2 linked regions of the Saccharomyces cerevisiae S288C genome follow. Changing the gene in region 1 together with any one later gene gives a genetic interaction. Each region holds a gene or a part of one and is shown on either strand. Other genes may lie near its edges.

What was found. A genetic interaction does not mean that the proteins touch.
Region 2: mutations in MEF2 (region 1) and GRC3 together harm fitness more than expected from each alone (negative genetic interaction), as found in Saccharomyces cerevisiae (one large-scale study listed by BioGRID).

Annotation. Positions count from the first base shown.
Region 1 is NC_001142.9:222,430-233,313, forward strand, and holds the start of MEF2 (mitochondrial elongation factor MEF2), read left to right. Parts: upstream 1-8,871; coding exon 8,872-10,884. Other genes in the region: protein kinase IME2, read left to right, coding at 1-898; SET4 (Set4p), read left to right, coding at 2,626-4,308; import motor complex subunit PAM16, read left to right, coding at 4,898-5,347; GSM1 (Gsm1p), read right to left, coding at 6,596-8,452. UniProt on the Saccharomyces cerevisiae protein: Mitochondrial GTPase that mediates the disassembly of ribosomes from messenger RNA at the termination of mitochondrial protein biosynthesis. Not involved in the GTP-dependent ribosomal translocation step during translation elongation.
Region 2 is NC_001144.5:66,718-73,265, forward strand, and holds GRC3 (polynucleotide 5'-hydroxyl-kinase), read left to right. Parts: upstream 1-1,862; coding exon 1,863-3,761; downstream 3,762-6,548. Other genes in the region: E3 ubiquitin-protein ligase PRP19, read right to left, coding at 28-1,539; putative AAA family ATPase RIX7, read right to left, coding at 3,916-6,429. UniProt on the Saccharomyces cerevisiae protein: Polynucleotide 5'-kinase involved in rRNA processing. Required for the efficient termination by RNA polymerase I and the processing of the IST2 pre-rRNA internal transcribed spacer localized between the 5.8S and 25S rRNAs.

The DNA.
Region 1 (10,884 bases):
GGATCATCTACTTTCTAGCTCCCAACTATCCGATTTATCTGAGGTTGTCAAAAAGTGTTTAAGATGGGATCCTAATGAAAGGGCAACAGCCCAAGAGCTTTGTGAAATGCCATTTTTTGAAAACACCGTGGCATCCCAAGTAGACGCAAGAGGCAATGTGACTAATACAGAACAAGCATTGATTTTTGCAGGTATAAATCCAGTAGCGACCAACACAAAGCCCATATATTTTAACTCTTCAACAAAATTGCCCGCAGAAACAGAGTCTAATGATATTGATATCAGCAACAACGATCACGATTCTCATGCTATGTGCTCACCAACATTAAATCAAGAAAAACTAACTTTGGTAGAATTTTTAAACGAATTCGTTGAAGAAGATAATGATGATCACTCAATACCTGATGTTGGAACAGATTCTACCATTTCAGATTCTATTGATGAGACTGAATTATCAAAAGAAATTCGTAATAATTTGGCCCTTTGTCAACTACCAGATGAAGAAGTCTTAGATCATTCATTATCGAATATTAGGCAGTTGACAAATGATATTGAAATTATAAATAAAGATGAAGCAGACAACATGGAACAGCTATTTTTTGACCTGGAAATTCCTGAAAAGGATGAGTTTCAGAGAAAACAACCATTTAATGAACATGCAGATATTGATGAAGACATCGTTCTACCATATGTGAACAACTCAAATTACACACATACAGATAGGTCACATCATAGAGGTGATAATGTTTTGGGTGATGCCTCTTTAGGCGATTCGTTTAATTCAATGCCAGATTTTACTCCAAGAAATTTCTTGATACCTACATTAAAAAAATCACGGGAAAAGTTCGAGCCTCATCTATCCAATTCAAACCAACATTTTGGAAATGTAACCTTCTAATAATTTGTCATTTGACTGACGAATCGTTAGGCACAGTTATATAGTTATATACACATAGACATACATATGTTCGCATATATATTATATTACTATGCATTCACCTAAATAGCTACTGCTCTATTAATACAGTGCTTTTTCGATGGCTTTAATTTAACTTATTAGACATTACTTTGCGTTTATTCCCCTCCAATATATTTTTATGTTTGTTTTTCTTGAACATTTTATGATTTCTTGCTCTTGGCGGCTACTGATTTTGTTAAGCAACTCATCAAGAGGTCAAAAAAAGTAGAACGAGATCTTTGTGTTCGGTTACCCGGCTCAGATCCTAACTTGGTATGTTTATTCGTATAAGTTACTGTTGTCCACAGGCAATACTCTGCAGAAAATTAAAACGGCATTAATGCTAGGACAACCAGAACTGTTACTACTGTATGTGCGATAGTTGATAACTGCAACATTATGCCCGGTATATTCTCAAAAAACCCTATTACTGCATACGAAGAAATCGCAAGAGAAATCTTTCGGTTTGGAAAAGCTCACTGTGAGGTTCCTTGGAGCCAATAGTAATACAGCACAATCCAAGGAAAAATCTGGCCTATATGCAAGGAAGGAGAGATAGTCAAAAGCATTCTTTCCCCTAGAAGTTGGTGCATATATGGCATCGTTAAAACATATTACCCCCAAAATTTCTTCTCTAAACGATGTGCTTGGCCTTTGTTTTGGTTTTTGATGTCGGTCGTTTGAGGCCCCTTGCGGAAAATCGAGATCGCCGAATGGCACGCGAGGGAAGGGAAATAAGGTTTAAAGGCACTGAAACAATAGGCAAGAAGTAGGCGAGAGCCGACATACGAGACTAATGTGTCCGCGTTTCTAAGGCCACTTTTCAATGAAACGGATATTGATATGCTAGTAAAAGGACGAGCTCAAGAGCGAAAATATAAGTAAAGAATTCGAGTGCACTTGTCTCCATGCAGCAAGATTTCATATGAGTCTTTTTTATCTTTTTACTTTTTACATTACACGATATGCACTTTATGAAAATTTAACGAGGTTGGAAGCCGGATAATCAACCAAAATCAGGCACGAAGGCACACTCGTATATGCATGTTGTTGAAACTCTGTTACGCTGAACTAACAATCACACATGTAGAGGTCACCGGGAAAAGTTGCGACCCCATGGAAGGTCGATCTCTTCGTTTGGCTTTGCTTGGCTGGCGGCATTGCGCTTCTTCGCTTATACCCGTCTCTTGACGCTCGAGCTCGTTCATTGAGATACCTTTATTCTTGCACATTTTCTGGCTTTTTTCGCTACTCGGGTACATGTAATCATGCACACAGAAGGTGCTGTAGGGTGAAAGTTCCTTTGTGCTGTCGTTTGTTTTTAATGCCAAACTTTCTGGTGATCAATAACCACCTCTTTTTCCTTCAGGAAACCTTATTATTGTTCTTGGATAGTACTAGGAAGTATATAAGGAACCTCGATTTTGGTATTGCACGGCTATACACATCTAAGAAACTTTGTATAAAAGGTGGCTACCCTATTCATAGCTTGATATCAATAGGCCATCTCATCACTTTTTATTGAAAAGGAAAGGAGGGAAATATATCTGATTCAAATTACTTGTTTGCTTCTCTTTAAGACAAAAGCATAGATAATTTCAGCGTGGAACGCCGGAATAAGATTGGTACCCTCGTCAGAAAGTTACAAATACCGCTTCATCTTCAAAATGACTTCACCGGAATCACTATCTTCTCGTCATATCAGGCAAGGAAGGACATACACAACCACAGACAAGGTCATATCGCGGTCGTCGTCGTACTCATCTAATAGTTCAATGTCTAAAGATTACGGCGATCACACACCCTTGTCCGTCAGCAGTGCAGCTTCAGAGACATTACCCTCACCTCAGTATATGCCGATAAGGACATTCAATACAATGCCTACAGCTGGCCCAACGCCTTTACATTTATTTCAAAATGACAGGGGCATTTTCAACCATCATTCTTCATCAGGCTCATCAAAAACGGCATCAACAAATAAAAGAGGAATAGCAGCAGCAGTAGCATTGGCAACTGCTGCCACCATACCATTTCCACTGAAAAAACAGAATCAAGATGATAATTCCAAGGTCTCGGTAACACACAATGAATCATCGAAAGAAAATAAAATTACACCCTCCATGAGAGCAGAAGATAACAAACCTAAAAATGGTTGCATCTGCGGTTCAAGTGACTCCAAGGATGAGTTGTTTATACAGTGTAACAAATGTAAAACGTGGCAGCACAAGTTATGTTATGCTTTCAAAAAATCAGATCCAATAAAAAGAGATTTTGTTTGCAAAAGATGTGACAGTGATACGAAAGTGCAGGTTAATCAAGTAAAACCAATGATATTCCCTAGAAAAATGGGAGATGAGCGATTATTTCAATTTTCATCCATAGTGACAACTTCAGCATCGAACACAAATCAGCATCAACAGTCTGTGAATAACATAGAGGAACAGCCCAAGAAACGTCAACTTCATTATACCGCCCCAACAACTGAAAATAGCAATAGTATACGGAAAAAATTGAGGCAAGAAAAACTGGTAGTATCAAGCCACTTTCTGAAGCCACTACTGAATGAGGTAAGTTCTTCCAATGACACGGAATTCAAAGCAATAACAATATCAGAGTATAAGGACAAATATGTTAAGATGTTTATTGATAACCATTATGATGACGATTGGGTTGTTTGTTCTAACTGGGAAAGCTCAAGGTCAGCTGACATCGAGGTAAGAAAATCATCAAATGAAAGAGATTTTGGAGTCTTCGCTGCAGATTCTTGTGTTAAAGGTGAGCTAATTCAAGAATATTTGGGCAAAATTGATTTTCAAAAAAATTATCAGACAGATCCAAATAATGACTATCGTTTGATGGGAACGACAAAACCTAAAGTACTTTTTCATCCACATTGGCCTTTATATATAGACTCTCGAGAAACAGGCGGATTAACAAGATACATAAGACGGAGTTGTGAGCCCAATGTGGAACTAGTAACGGTAAGACCGCTTGACGAAAAACCAAGAGGAGATAATGATTGTAGAGTTAAATTTGTTTTAAGGGCTATAAGAGATATTCGTAAGGGAGAAGAGATAAGCGTAGAATGGCAATGGGATTTGAGAAATCCTATTTGGGAGATAATAAATGCATCTAAAGATTTGGATTCCCTACCGGATCCCGACAAGTTCTGGTTGATGGGGTCAATAAAGACTATTTTAACAAATTGTGATTGTGCATGTGGGTACTTGGGCCATAATTGTCCAATAACTAAAATCAAAAACTTTTCTGAAGAATTCATGAGGAATACGAAGGAATCCCTATCTAATAAATCTTACTTTAATACAATAATGCACAACTGTAAGCCATAAACGAAATTTTAAAATTAATAGTATTCATTTTAATCTTTTTTGAAAGCTTAATTTTATCATCATAATTTTTCTTCCAAAACTTCAATCTTGGTATTTTTTTTCGCATTGGTCTTCATTTTTTTTCTTTTGTTTTTAGCTTTAATGTTGAAAGCGTGAATATCAAAACACTTTTATAATAAATCACCACTTTGTAACTATAGAGAACAATTCATGCTTTATTTATAGATGCCACGATTAAGCATCAATCATTAGTTGAGAGGATCCTTAACGTTAAAATCCACCGCACTTTTCCTTTCAAAAAGCTGCATTGTTTCCATAATTCATTTCATGGCAGGTTAATGACTTATTTGATATGAAGAGTGAGGTTCTTATCAAATGAAATTCCTACATATGAATTTTTTAAAAGAGAGTTTTTCGTTTTACGATATTTATTTACTTCATCATCGTTTATCATTTTTCACGTAGCAAATTTTGAAGCTTCAACTTATAACTCATTTGCATCCGATTCACATATTTCAGCTGACTATAAATTTGGCAACAGCTTCGTGACTTGAGCATAAGAAAAACATAGACTTGTTGGATATAAAATATGGCTCACAGGGCTTTCATACAGGTTATAATCACAGGAACTCAAGTTTTTGGAAAAGCATTCGCCGAGGCGTATAGACAAGCGGCTTCACAATCAGTGAAACAAGGTGCTACAAATGCATCTAGAAGGGGAACAGGAAAAGGCGAATATGGTGGTATTACGTTGGATGAGAGTTGTAAAATTTTAAATATTGAAGAATCCAAGGGCGATTTAAACATGGACAAGATTAATAACAGGTTTAACTATCTATTTGAGGTTAACGATAAAGAAAAAGGTGGAAGCTTCTACTTACAGAGCAAAGTTTATCGAGCAGCAGAAAGGTTAAAATGGGAACTGGCTCAGAGAGAAAAAAATGCGAAGGCGAAAGCAGGGGACGCTTCAACAGCGAAACCTCCTCCGAATTCAACAAATTCATCTGGTGCAGATAATAGTGCAAGCAGCAATCAGTAGTCAAGGAAGCCTCCATCATTACGTCACAAGTGTTATCGAAAGCATGCAGCAGTGCATATATTTTCCTAGTTGGTTGCTTCCTGTACGTTAGGAATCTTCAACCACCATCCTTGTATTTAGTTAATATTAGTATATGTACCAAAGTAAATATACTCAGATGCCATCTCGATATACGCACCGTACACGAAAATGAAATTAAAAAAAAAATGTTGGAGCACAAGCAAGGCAGCATCAGAACGTACCGTCAGTTGGTACCAAGACAAGTCCATCCCCGTAGGCACTACAAATTATGGGAATGAGAAAGTATACAAAATATAAACTGTCTTATCATGAAGAAGAGTCGCTTAGGAATTTAAACTTTCAAATCGCATTACGCAATTCTCTAAAAACGCGAACCTTTCCCTGATATGTAATCAGGGAATTTCCTCAGAATAATATTCGATCTAAGAAACCGGAAACGAAATGAAAATTGTTACTACTTTGTTTAGGAGTAGTCAAAGTTCATTCAGCTATGGGTTATGATGAAATGATTTAAATTATTCTCGCTCCAGTATTAACTTATTACGTAATATGAGCTTAAAAGAGCAAGCTCCTCATCACTCACACTCCATAACATGAAGAACGAAAATAACCTAATCTTTAGGTTTCTATGGTATAATGAAATTAATATTATCTAAAGATAGTATTAACCACTACTGATGTTAGCCTTTTGAAAAAAAATCAAAAGAAAAATTTGAATTTTAAAGAAGAAGTAACAAAGGGAAGAAGTTTTTGCCAATCGGACAACACTAGCTCTATTTATACTTTTCTGTTGCTCCAAAAACAGGAAAGAACAAATTTTTCAATTTAGTGTGACCCGGCTAATAATAAAGAGGGAAGTAATAGGTAGGGTTTTACTGGCAAGAAATCCATATTGTTGCTCCCGAATAATATTATAAATTCTTGTAATTAATACAAAGTTTCTAGATCCACCTTGTTTAAAAATATAAAGTTATGCTTAAAATTCTTCAGGGAAGAAGGTTTTCAATGGATGATTTTACATTTTTGACGAATTCCTGAGAAACTAAATTACAATGTAAAACTGTACATAAATATAAATATTATTGTTGATACGGAAAGTAAAATAAAAAAAAGAAACGCTAAAGAATACTGAATTGCCAACCTAAGTAAAAAATAAGCGATAAAATCAAAGAAACGGACAGAATGCATATAAAAACTGTAATCAGTAATAAGCCCAAAAAATAGTGATCAGTCCATTTCAAAAATTGGTAAAAATTGTCCCATTACGAGAATTGGGATATTAAACGAGTCCCTTTTTACTGTCCAACAACAGGCACACTTCAAATAAAGACCGTTACTTAATAATAAATTGCACTTAGTAAAGATTGCTTTTCCATCCGTAGTAAAAGAAAACCCTTCTGTAATTTTTGACGAGGTAGAAGAACATGCGTTCAACATCAATAGTTTTTTCCTTTTATTGATATCATTGTAACCAAATGCCAGCAATTCGTTAAATATTTGAAAGTAATTCGAAACGCTTTTATGATCCAGATATTCAAAAATAAAGGAGGTGCGGTCTAATAGTAAATTTTTGTTAAAACCTGTTAAAGAATAGAATTCGTTACTGACAAAACAAATCTCGCCTGATCTTCTCCAGATGCACATCGGTGTGCAGCTTACTAATTTTGCCATGTTCTCCAAATCTAATAAAGCCCTTTGCAAGGTAACTTCCTGTAATAGCAAATCCTCTTCAATCATATTGGATGTTAACGAAATGAAAATTGGAGCATATCTTTCTAGTATAGAGCGTATTATAACTTCTAAATCATATCTCAAATTATGCTTTTGGGTACTGTGTTCGTCTTTTACTGAGGCAGATTTATCAATTTCAGCTCCTTCAAGAAATTTTTTTCTTAAAGTAGTTAGCAGTTTGGTGTATGCGAGCTTGTAATTATGCGGTTTTATTAAACATTTATTGTCATATAGGTCTTGAGGAGTCTTTACTAATTCACGAAACTTTGAAGGTGATATGAAATCGGTATCATGTTTCTCCAGATCTGCATCGGAGTGACTAGAACTGTCACATTCGCTTTCCAGTTTGGCGTTATGTGATGGGTGTGTATTAGCGTTTGCTCCACGATTCAAATGCAGCATGTCTAAAGATATAAAGGGCCTAGACACTACTTCATCATATGTATTGAAAGTAGAAGTGGAATGGCCGATCGAGGAGTCCTTTTGGTCATTCACGCTTTTTGTCGAGTTTAAAAGGTTCGTTAAATGCAATGACGAATTTCCCCGTGTAGATGCGCTAGGATTGGGATATTCTGATTCTTGGAGGGAAAATATCTGGGAGTTATTCGGTAAAAACGGCGTTGAAATATCTACTATATCCTTTAATTTCATGTATTCGTCATTGCACCACATACTATCAAAGTGAATATTAGTTTCGTCATCGACATCATCGTCACTCTTATTACTATCGTCCATTCCAGAGTGCACAGGAACGTTTGAAGTAGCAACCAAACAATTGGTAGCCAGCGGCTGCTGCATTGCTTTATGTTGCTCTAGGAAATGCGACTTTAAATTGAGAGTACTCTTCCGTACGGTGGGTATGATGGGGTCATTCATTAAATGTACTGCTTGTGAAGCTGATATATTATTAGAAGTATTTTCTAAGACGGTCTGGCGGTTATTCGTATTGAAGTTCGTAATACGTGGAATAGATCCAGCGCTTTGAAAGTTATCATTTATATTATACGTATATTGGATATTCGTATTGTGGGCAGGTGTTTTGCCTGGTTTTTCCTGATCTGAAGATAGAAAATCTCGCTGCAGATGTACGCTTGAGGGGGATACCGTCTTCGACGGCACATCATGTATTACCAGCCTCTTCCCCAAATTCAAGTATGGTTGTGTTCCATGCTTCTCAATTCGTTTTCTTGATTTCCTTTTCTTATCTCTGCAAAACTTCCCAATATTTCTTTTTAAACAGTTTTGACATGGCCTCCCTACGTCACACTGTATATGTTTGGTATGACAGAATTCACAAGCTGTCTGGATAGACTTTCTCGTCTGTTTCAACTCTGAAGGTAGTTTTTTGGTCATATGTATATATATTCTTGTATGCTGTATCCAAATATATTATTTCTTTACTCCCTTTATTGCTAAGCTGTAATACGTTAAATCATTCGAAATATGATCTATTCATGCAAAAACTTGATGTGTGTAACAAAGAAAATATCCGGTTCAGAGATCCGAACAAATGATAGTCGTACCCTTCCCCTTAGTGTTAACTCGTTTAAGCAGGCTATGATGATTAGTAAATCGTTTCAGCCTCTTCTCATTTCGACAATTTTTGAGGCCTTCCCTTAGTGAGAGGGGAGATAACCAATCAGCACAGAGAACGACGACGGCGCGGAGGCTGGGCGGTTAAAAGAAGATAATGTGAAATAGATCAACAAGCTTTCTGGTGGCAAAACGGCAGTCAGAGATATACAAAAGGGGCAAGATAAGTGAGGGAGGCTATGTGGAAATGGAATGTGCGCAGATGGGCGGGCGCAAGAGTAAACATTAGCAAGAACCGATTAAGTGTAATTAACGTTGGAAGTAGATACTTATCGACCGCAAGAAGTCCACTGTCTAAGGTTAGAAATATAGGAATTATAGCCCATATCGATGCAGGTAAAACTACCACAACAGAGAGGATGCTTTATTATGCAGGAATCTCAAAGCATATTGGAGACGTCGACACTGGCGATACGATAACTGATTTTTTAGAGCAGGAGAGATCCCGAGGTATCACAATTCAAAGCGCTGCGATTTCATTCCCATGGCGAAATACTTTTGCAATAAATCTTATTGATACGCCGGGACATATAGATTTTACTTTTGAAGTGATTAGGGCTTTGAAAGTTATTGATTCATGCGTGGTCATTTTGGACGCTGTTGCCGGCGTAGAGGCACAGACAGAGAAGGTTTGGAAGCAAAGTAAATCGAAGCCCAAAATCTGCTTTATCAACAAAATGGATCGTATGGGGGCGAGTTTCAACCATACAGTCAATGACTTGATAAATAAATTTATGAGAGGAACAACTACCAAACCGGTGTTGGTAAACATTCCTTACTATCGAAAACAACCGACTAGCAATGATTATGTTTTCCAAGGTGTTATTGACGTCGTAAATGGGAAGCGATTAACCTGGAATCCAGAAAATCCTGATGAAATTATCGTGGATGAGTTGGATGGTACTTCTCTTGAGCAGTGTAATCGTTGTAGGGAATCGATGATAGAGACTTTGACTGAATACGACGAAGATTTAGTCCAGCACTTCTTAGAGGAGGCAGAAGGCGATTACTCCAAGGTTTCCGCACAGTTTTTGAACGCTTCAATAAGAAAACTGACTATGAAGAATATGATTGTACCTGTCTTATGCGGTGCGTCTTTTAAAAATATTGGCGTGCAGCCTCTATTAGATGCTATAGTTAATTATCTCCCTTCGCCCATTGAAGCCGAACTACCAGAACTAAATGATAAAACCGTTCCAATGAAATATGACCCCAAAGTTGGATGTTTAGTAAACAACAACAAAAATCTTTGCATTGCTCTTGCATTCAAAGTGATTACGGATCCAATCAGGGGTAAACAAATATTCATTAGAATTTATTCAGGTACACTAAACAGTGGCAATACCGTTTATAATTCTACTACTGGGGAAAAATTTAAATTGGGTAAATTACTGATACCCCATGCGGGAACATCACAACCTGTAAATATTTTAACTGCGGGCCAAATCGGATTGCTTACTGGCTCTACAGTCGAAAACAACATATCTACTGGAGATACACTAATAACGCATTCGTCGAAGAAGGATGGGTTGAAATCACTTGATAAAAAAAAGGAGTTGACGTTAAAAATCAATTCTATCTTCATTCCCCCACCAGTTTTTGGTGTTTCCATCGAACCAAGGACTTTAAGTAATAAAAAATCGATGGAAGAAGCTTTAAACACTTTAATTACTGAAGATCCCAGTCTTTCAATTTCTCAAAATGATGAGACTGGCCAAACGGTTTTAAACGGTATGGGTGAATTACACCTTGAAATTGCCAAGGATCGATTGGTTAATGACCTAAAAGCAGATGTTGAATTTGGTCAGTTGATGGTGTCCTACAAAGAAACAATTAATTCAGAAACAAATATAGAAACGTATGAGAGTGATGATGGATATAGATTCTCCTTATCTCTGCTACCAAATTCCGATGCCCTTCCTAACTGCCTTGCATATCCATTAGGAGTCAACGAGAATTTTCTGATAATGGAAAAAAATGGTAATTGGGATAAAGAATGGAAATACCAAGTTTCTTTCGAATCAATTCTAAATTCTATTATTGCAAGTTGCATTGTGGGACTTCAAAGAGGCGGAAAAATAGCTAACTTTCCCTTATATGCATGCTCCATCAAAATCAATAGCGATTGGTCAGTCCCACCTGATATTGAAACTCCACAAGAAATCTTAAAAATTACTAGAAACTTAATTTTT
Region 2 (6,548 bases), on another chromosome or scaffold:
TTAGAAAGTACAAACGTGTCAGCGTATTTAGGGTGTCAATGCAACAATATTGAAACTATCATTTGTCTTCAGAATAGCGGCAATACCACCATCTCCGCATACCACGTCCATATCAGTGAAATCGGCAGTGTCGCTTTGCAAACAGAGGGCGCTCTCCTCGTCTTTAGTCCAATTTTTTGTTTTCTTGTCAAATTTGTATATCGTCAGCGAATTGCTCTCGTTTGAGTATGCAATCATATTCTTTCCAGAGTCGTCAATGTCATAGGTAACGGTGCCCGTCTTGAATTCTGGGATTGTGTAAGTTGGATACGCTAGCGTGCCGACATCCTTTCTTAGGTCAAAGCAAACCACAGTTTGGTCACACTCTACTACCATCCAGTACCCATTGTCTGCAAATTTAACCTCTTTTATCTTGGCTTCTTCATCTACGGGGAATCTAGAGCTTGCCTGGTCAGGTGATGACAAGTTGTAAACGTCTAATATACCGTCCGGAGAGTAAAGGGCTAATAATAATGAATCCTTATGTAGGACACCGCTGCTGTACTCAACATCTGATTTAGCAGAATGAACAATATACTGGGAATCATCCTCGTAGGATTGAAATCCTATGGTTCCTCTATTATCCGCCCAGATGAAGTACTCTGTGTTGACCTCGTTGTGACCATACATATATATAATCTCATTGGCGGAATCTACCTCTATTTCTCTGAGGACTTTGTTTGTTTTTGAGTCCAATATAGTTATTTGGTTACCTGGATATAGTAGTAGCAAACGATTACAAGGCCCTCTGGAAATAATAGCTGGATGCTCTCCCCCGGTACGGGGATTTGGTGTAGTTATTGTGGTAATCGTTTTCGAATCTTTTAATTGGGTAAAATGTAAAGCACCATCCTCACAGCGACACATGCACACCCATTTATCATAGTACATAGATTTGTTAAGCTCTTTATATGGGAATGTTTTGATGTTACGGGAGTAATTTTGTGCCTGTAATAGCTCCAAATTTTTTAAAATCGGCCATTTGGGTGCTTTGAGCTTGCCCCTCGCTACAAAGTCTCTAGAAGATTGTAACAGCCCTTGTAAAAATTCTTCTCTCGTAATAGCTACCGCTTGCTGTGAGGATTTGGGTAAATCCTTCGAATCTTCGTTTTTTTCCATCAATAGTTGCGCAGCGACCAACTTTGCAGCATCTCTTTCGTACATTACAGTCGACAGTTTTTTCGTTAAACTATCTAGAGTTGATCGTAACTTAAAGTTTTCGAGCATTATAGCATCCCATTCATTCTGTAAACTTGTCAACAGATTCGGAATCGAATAATTCGCTTTTAACGTAGCAGAGTTTGTAGACTCTGTTAGTGAGGCTTGTTGCGCACTAGGTACGATTTCCACTATTTCTTCGATGCTTAAGGGCTCATTTGTTATCGGATCATTCCCCGTATCTTTAACATACTGTTCAAGGAGCGACTTTTCAAAAATAGTCCTGGATTTAGGTGATAGAACTGGCCTTCTAGGAACTTTCCCACTAATAGCACAAAGCATTGTTCCCTAGTTGGCTTTCTTGGCTATGTTTTGGTCTTTAATATTTCTTGGAAAGTTTGCATCTTTCTAAAATTGCCCTTACGAATTTTTCACCGCTGCTACCCGAAAAAGTACGAAATTTATCAACATGAAATTTATTCCTGCCAAGTCATCGAGTGCTCTGCGCCTAAGGCTTAGGTTGCATTTAAGTTGTCTTAATTCACGCTTATAGTGCAGGTAGTATAGGTTCCCCACTCCTGATCTTTCCCTTCTGAAATAAGGAAAGACTGCAGTTTAGTTTGGCAGAGAGAAGAAGATAATCATTTCTATTATATTCTACCGCTATGGTGATAGATTCCAAACAGGATCTACCTCAATATACCAAAGATTCAGGTTCAGAATCGGACTCAGACTCAAGTAATAATTTCATTGTGGAATCTCCGTCAATTCCATCTTCAAAAAGTGCAACCGTAGTTCTCAATAGTGAAGAGTATGAGGACGACGAAGGTGATGACTTGAACGGGCTGGATGCTGAATTGATCGATAATATAACGTATGAAGGAGATGAAGATGAAACTATGTTTGTGGGGTTGAAAGAAAAACAGAAGTTACATTTATCTGGTGTTTTCCGGCTGCAAGTGGTGAAAGGAGGTATTGTCTACAACAATGTACACTATAACGCTTCGAGAGAAATTTTAACCTTCTGGCACCCGTTATCACAGTCCATACCTACTATAGATTTTTCGCACTTTGCAGGCTGGCAAGACACTTTTTTTATGCCGAGAAACAACAGGTTTAAAATTAGAGATGAAGAATTCAAATCATTTCCATGTGTTCTTCGCGTTTTTAATTCTAATCATACGGGCTTGTTAGAAGCAGGTCATTTATATCGGGATGTTAATTATCTATGGAAACCTAAAGAACCTTACTTTCCATTAAACGAGAGAACAACGTATCATTTATTACATGAGTCAGACCGAATTCAATCTTTATCCGTGCCGGGATATTGGTCAACTCCGTTAGAGAAGTTATATTTGAGTCACAAGAACGCTGCGTATGATACAAGAATCATGGTGATTGGTGGTAAAAACTCTGGGAAGTCTACATTCTTGAGGCTTTTATTGGAAAAATTTACGCAAGATATACGAGATTCTACTACGAGCCAGGAAGAATTGGTATACCTGGATTTAGATCCTGGTCAACCTGAATACTCACTACCTGATTCAATATCCCTGAATAAGATTCTTTCCAGCCCTATTTCTCTCGGACAACATCTCTGCCAAGGTTCAAATTTCCAAACTTTGTTACAGTTCTACGCTGGCTCCTCTTCCCCGCAGGACGAGCCCACATCATACCTGAACTGCGCTGATAAACTTATAGACCATTTGGAAGAGCAAGCCTTCTTCGGAACGTCATTGCTTAATCTACCTGGGTGGATAAAAGGATTCGGGATGCAGATTTTAAATCATATAATAAGGAAATATAAGCCCACTCACTTATTGTTTTTGGAAACAGCTAATTCGAAAAGACACCTGGATGAACTAACAATTCCACAGAGTTTTTCCACATCACTACGAGATGCATATGCACCTGAAGTTGTTCGCGTTCCAGCCCATAGTCTGAACCACACCTTATCTTCTAGGTTCCATGCATCACAACTGAGAACATTCAAAATACTGGCACTGTTTCATAAAATAACTCAATTTGATTATGATTTTGCGCCTCTTTTAAAATCTGCACCTTTGCAAATTTCATATGGCAAAGGTAAAAGCGGTATTAAAGGCATTCAATTTCCTATGGAATTCCAGGATCTGAATCCTCAAGATATCAAGTCCGCATTGGAAGGTACTGTCATTGGGATATATACATATTCTGGAGAAGACTCACTAGAGGTGAAATCCTTGAATACCTTTCCCATCCTACAATCGTGTACTTCTTCTTCTAAAAATTTCATAACTCTGGGGCTGATACACTCTATTGACACCTCCCAGCAAATAATGAACATTTACGTGCCACCTTGCCATACCCAGATTTTAGATAAACAACCTGAGGATGCTCAATGGATAATAGTAAGAAATAAGACGGAAACTCCTTTTTGTGACTTTCTTCCATCCCCCCGCACAATTACATGGGATGATAATATACAAATACCGTTCGCAACTTTTGAAAGAAGGAAAAAATTGGAACATGTGTGGAAAGTTCGTAAGAACGTCATGAGACGTGGCCAATTCATGAAAAGATAGAAAGAAAAGGTAATCGTACATTTTTTAATAGTGAAAGATAGAGGATACACAAAAATCATGCAAAGTTTTATATATTTGTTATGTATACTCATATTCCTTCAATATCTAAGTCATACTAACTTCTAGGGACTTTACCAAAATATTATTTATAAATTTATTGTTTCATTTCTTCCGCATCCTTCATCTCCTCCGTTAAACCCATTTTCTTATTTAATCTATCATATTTCAGTCTATCTTTATCGCTCACAGAGGGTTTAATCTTTCTTAATGCACTTCGGAAGTCAGACATGGTCACAATAATTTCTTCGCCAGATACGCCAACCGATAGATCCTCAAATTCCTTGTCTAAGTCATTATCAAGAACAGATTGTATTTCTTCGCTCTGAAAAAACTTCCTTTTTAGAGCCAAGACTGAACTCTCCCTGACTAAAGCAGCCAAGTCAGCGCCTGAAAAATTGTTGCACTTCTCATTTCTGATAATTTCTTCAAAATCAACATCGCTACTCAGAGGTGTTCCGTGTGATTTGGTCAAAGTTTTGATAATATCTAGTTTTTCCTCAGTATTAGGTAACTCAATAAACAAACTCTTATCCAATCTGCCCGGTCTTAACATAGCAGGATCAATCATATCAGGTCTATTAGTGGCGCCAATCACAAAAATTCCCCTTCTATCGTTCAGCCCATCTAATTCCGTTAACAAAGTGTTGACGACTCTTGAGGAGGATTCGGACAAAGAAGTATCTCTTCTTGGCACCAAAGCGTCCAGTTCATCAAAAAATATAACACACGGTACAGACGCCCTTGCTCTAGTAAAAACTTGTCTGATGGACCTTTCTGATTCACCAACGTATTTATTTAATAATTCAGGACCTTTGATTGATATGAAATTTGCACGAGATTCATTGGCAACAGCTTTTGCTAGTAACGTTTTACCACAACCTGGTGGTCCCCACAATAAAACACCACCAGGGGCGCTAATTCCCACTTTTTCATAAAGCTCTGGTCTCTTGATGGGTTGCACAATAGCCATATTTAATTCAAGTCTAACTCTTTGCAATGCGCCTACATTAGCCCAAGTAACATCAGGTACCGTAGCGAACCCTTCTCTCTTTGCTGTTGGTTGAATTGTTGGCAACGCTTTCAAAAAATCTTCGTACTTAATCGATAATAATGATAACTGCTCTCCTGATAAAGGCTCAGGATAATTACGAATAAATTGTTGGACTACGGATAAAGGCAACGGATCGATCATATTCGCAGTGTTCTTCAGGCTAGATTCATCTCCGTTTGCTGTTTCATCAATTTCCATGTTATCTTCTGAACTGTCCGTTGCCGTAGTTGGTGTGGATTTTATATTAGCATAGGTTTGGAAAATTCTTTTAATAGCGCATGTACCGGCAGCAGTAACTAAAGCCTTTAAATCAGCGCCAACAAAGCCTGGGGTTAATTTTGCCAATTTGGCAAAATCGATAGCACCATCAATTTTTAGGTTATCAGACATTTTCTTTAAAATATGTAACCTTGAGACTTCATTCGGGACATTCAGGCATATTTCTCTATCGAATCTACCTGCTCTTCTCAATGCTGCATCCAAAGAGTCAGGTCTATTCGTGGCACCTATGATAATAACAGGTTTTCCATTTGTCTTTTCCATCGTTAATTCATCCATTGAGGTCAATAATTGGGCAACTATTCTTCTCTCCATTTCTCTTTGGGCTCCTCCATCACGTTTTGGTGTAATGGCATCTATTTCATCAAAGAAAACAAGACATGGTGCCAAGCTTCTCGCTTCATCAAACAAATCCCTAATCTTTTTCTCGCTTTCCCCAGACATACCACTTACGACTGAAGGTGCAGAAATAGATATAAATGGGACTTGTAATTCTCCAGCTAACGCATTAGCAATCGACGTCTTACCGCAACCCGGTGGGCCATGCAACAGAACACCTCTAGGTGGTTCGACACCCGTGGATAAAAATATCTCTGGATGAAGAATGGGTAGACCTATTAGTTCCATAAGTTGTGCAACGACATCATCCATACCACCTAAGGATTTCAGAGACGAATTAGGTGGAGATCTATCTTCCTTGATTTTTTGACGTTTTACCTTACATGTACCTTCTTTGGATCTTTTTTTAGATTTTTTAACCTCTTCTGTCTTAGGATCATCAGTTTCTGTTATAGACTCGGAAACAGATCCAGATTTGGACCACGTGCTAGTTATGCGTTTGTTCATCTCATTTGTGTCTCGCTCAATCATCATATTTTTCTTAGCTAGTTCTTCTTCCAAGCTTGGTTTCTCTTCCTCTTCGTTGTTGTAACCTGGGTAAGAACCAAATTCTTCCAATTCTGATTCAATCACGTCTTTTAGCATGCGGTCAATTGTCTTTTGTAAGACAACTTTCTTAACTCTTTGAAGTGATAAATCTTTAGTCAAACAAAAGGTAAAAATCTCACCTGCTGTTAAATCTTTAGCGAAAAACATGGATTCAAATATATCCTCATCTTCTTCACCCTCGTTGTTCTCGCCCTCTTCTCCTTGGGATTCTTGTCTCAGAGACCTTTTTCTGTCCAAAGTTTTTTCTTCCAAGAGACGATAGATAAGATCGACGATCTTGTTATCTAGAGAACTTGTTAATGAGTTCTTTTTCGACTTTACTTTAACCATTATTCCAGCCTTCCCACCACGTAGCTATTATCGGCCCTAATGATCTTTTATTCTAACTGACTCGCAGATTAATTCACACATCGGTTGTTAATCATTGTTTGAATTTCCAAAATATGCGA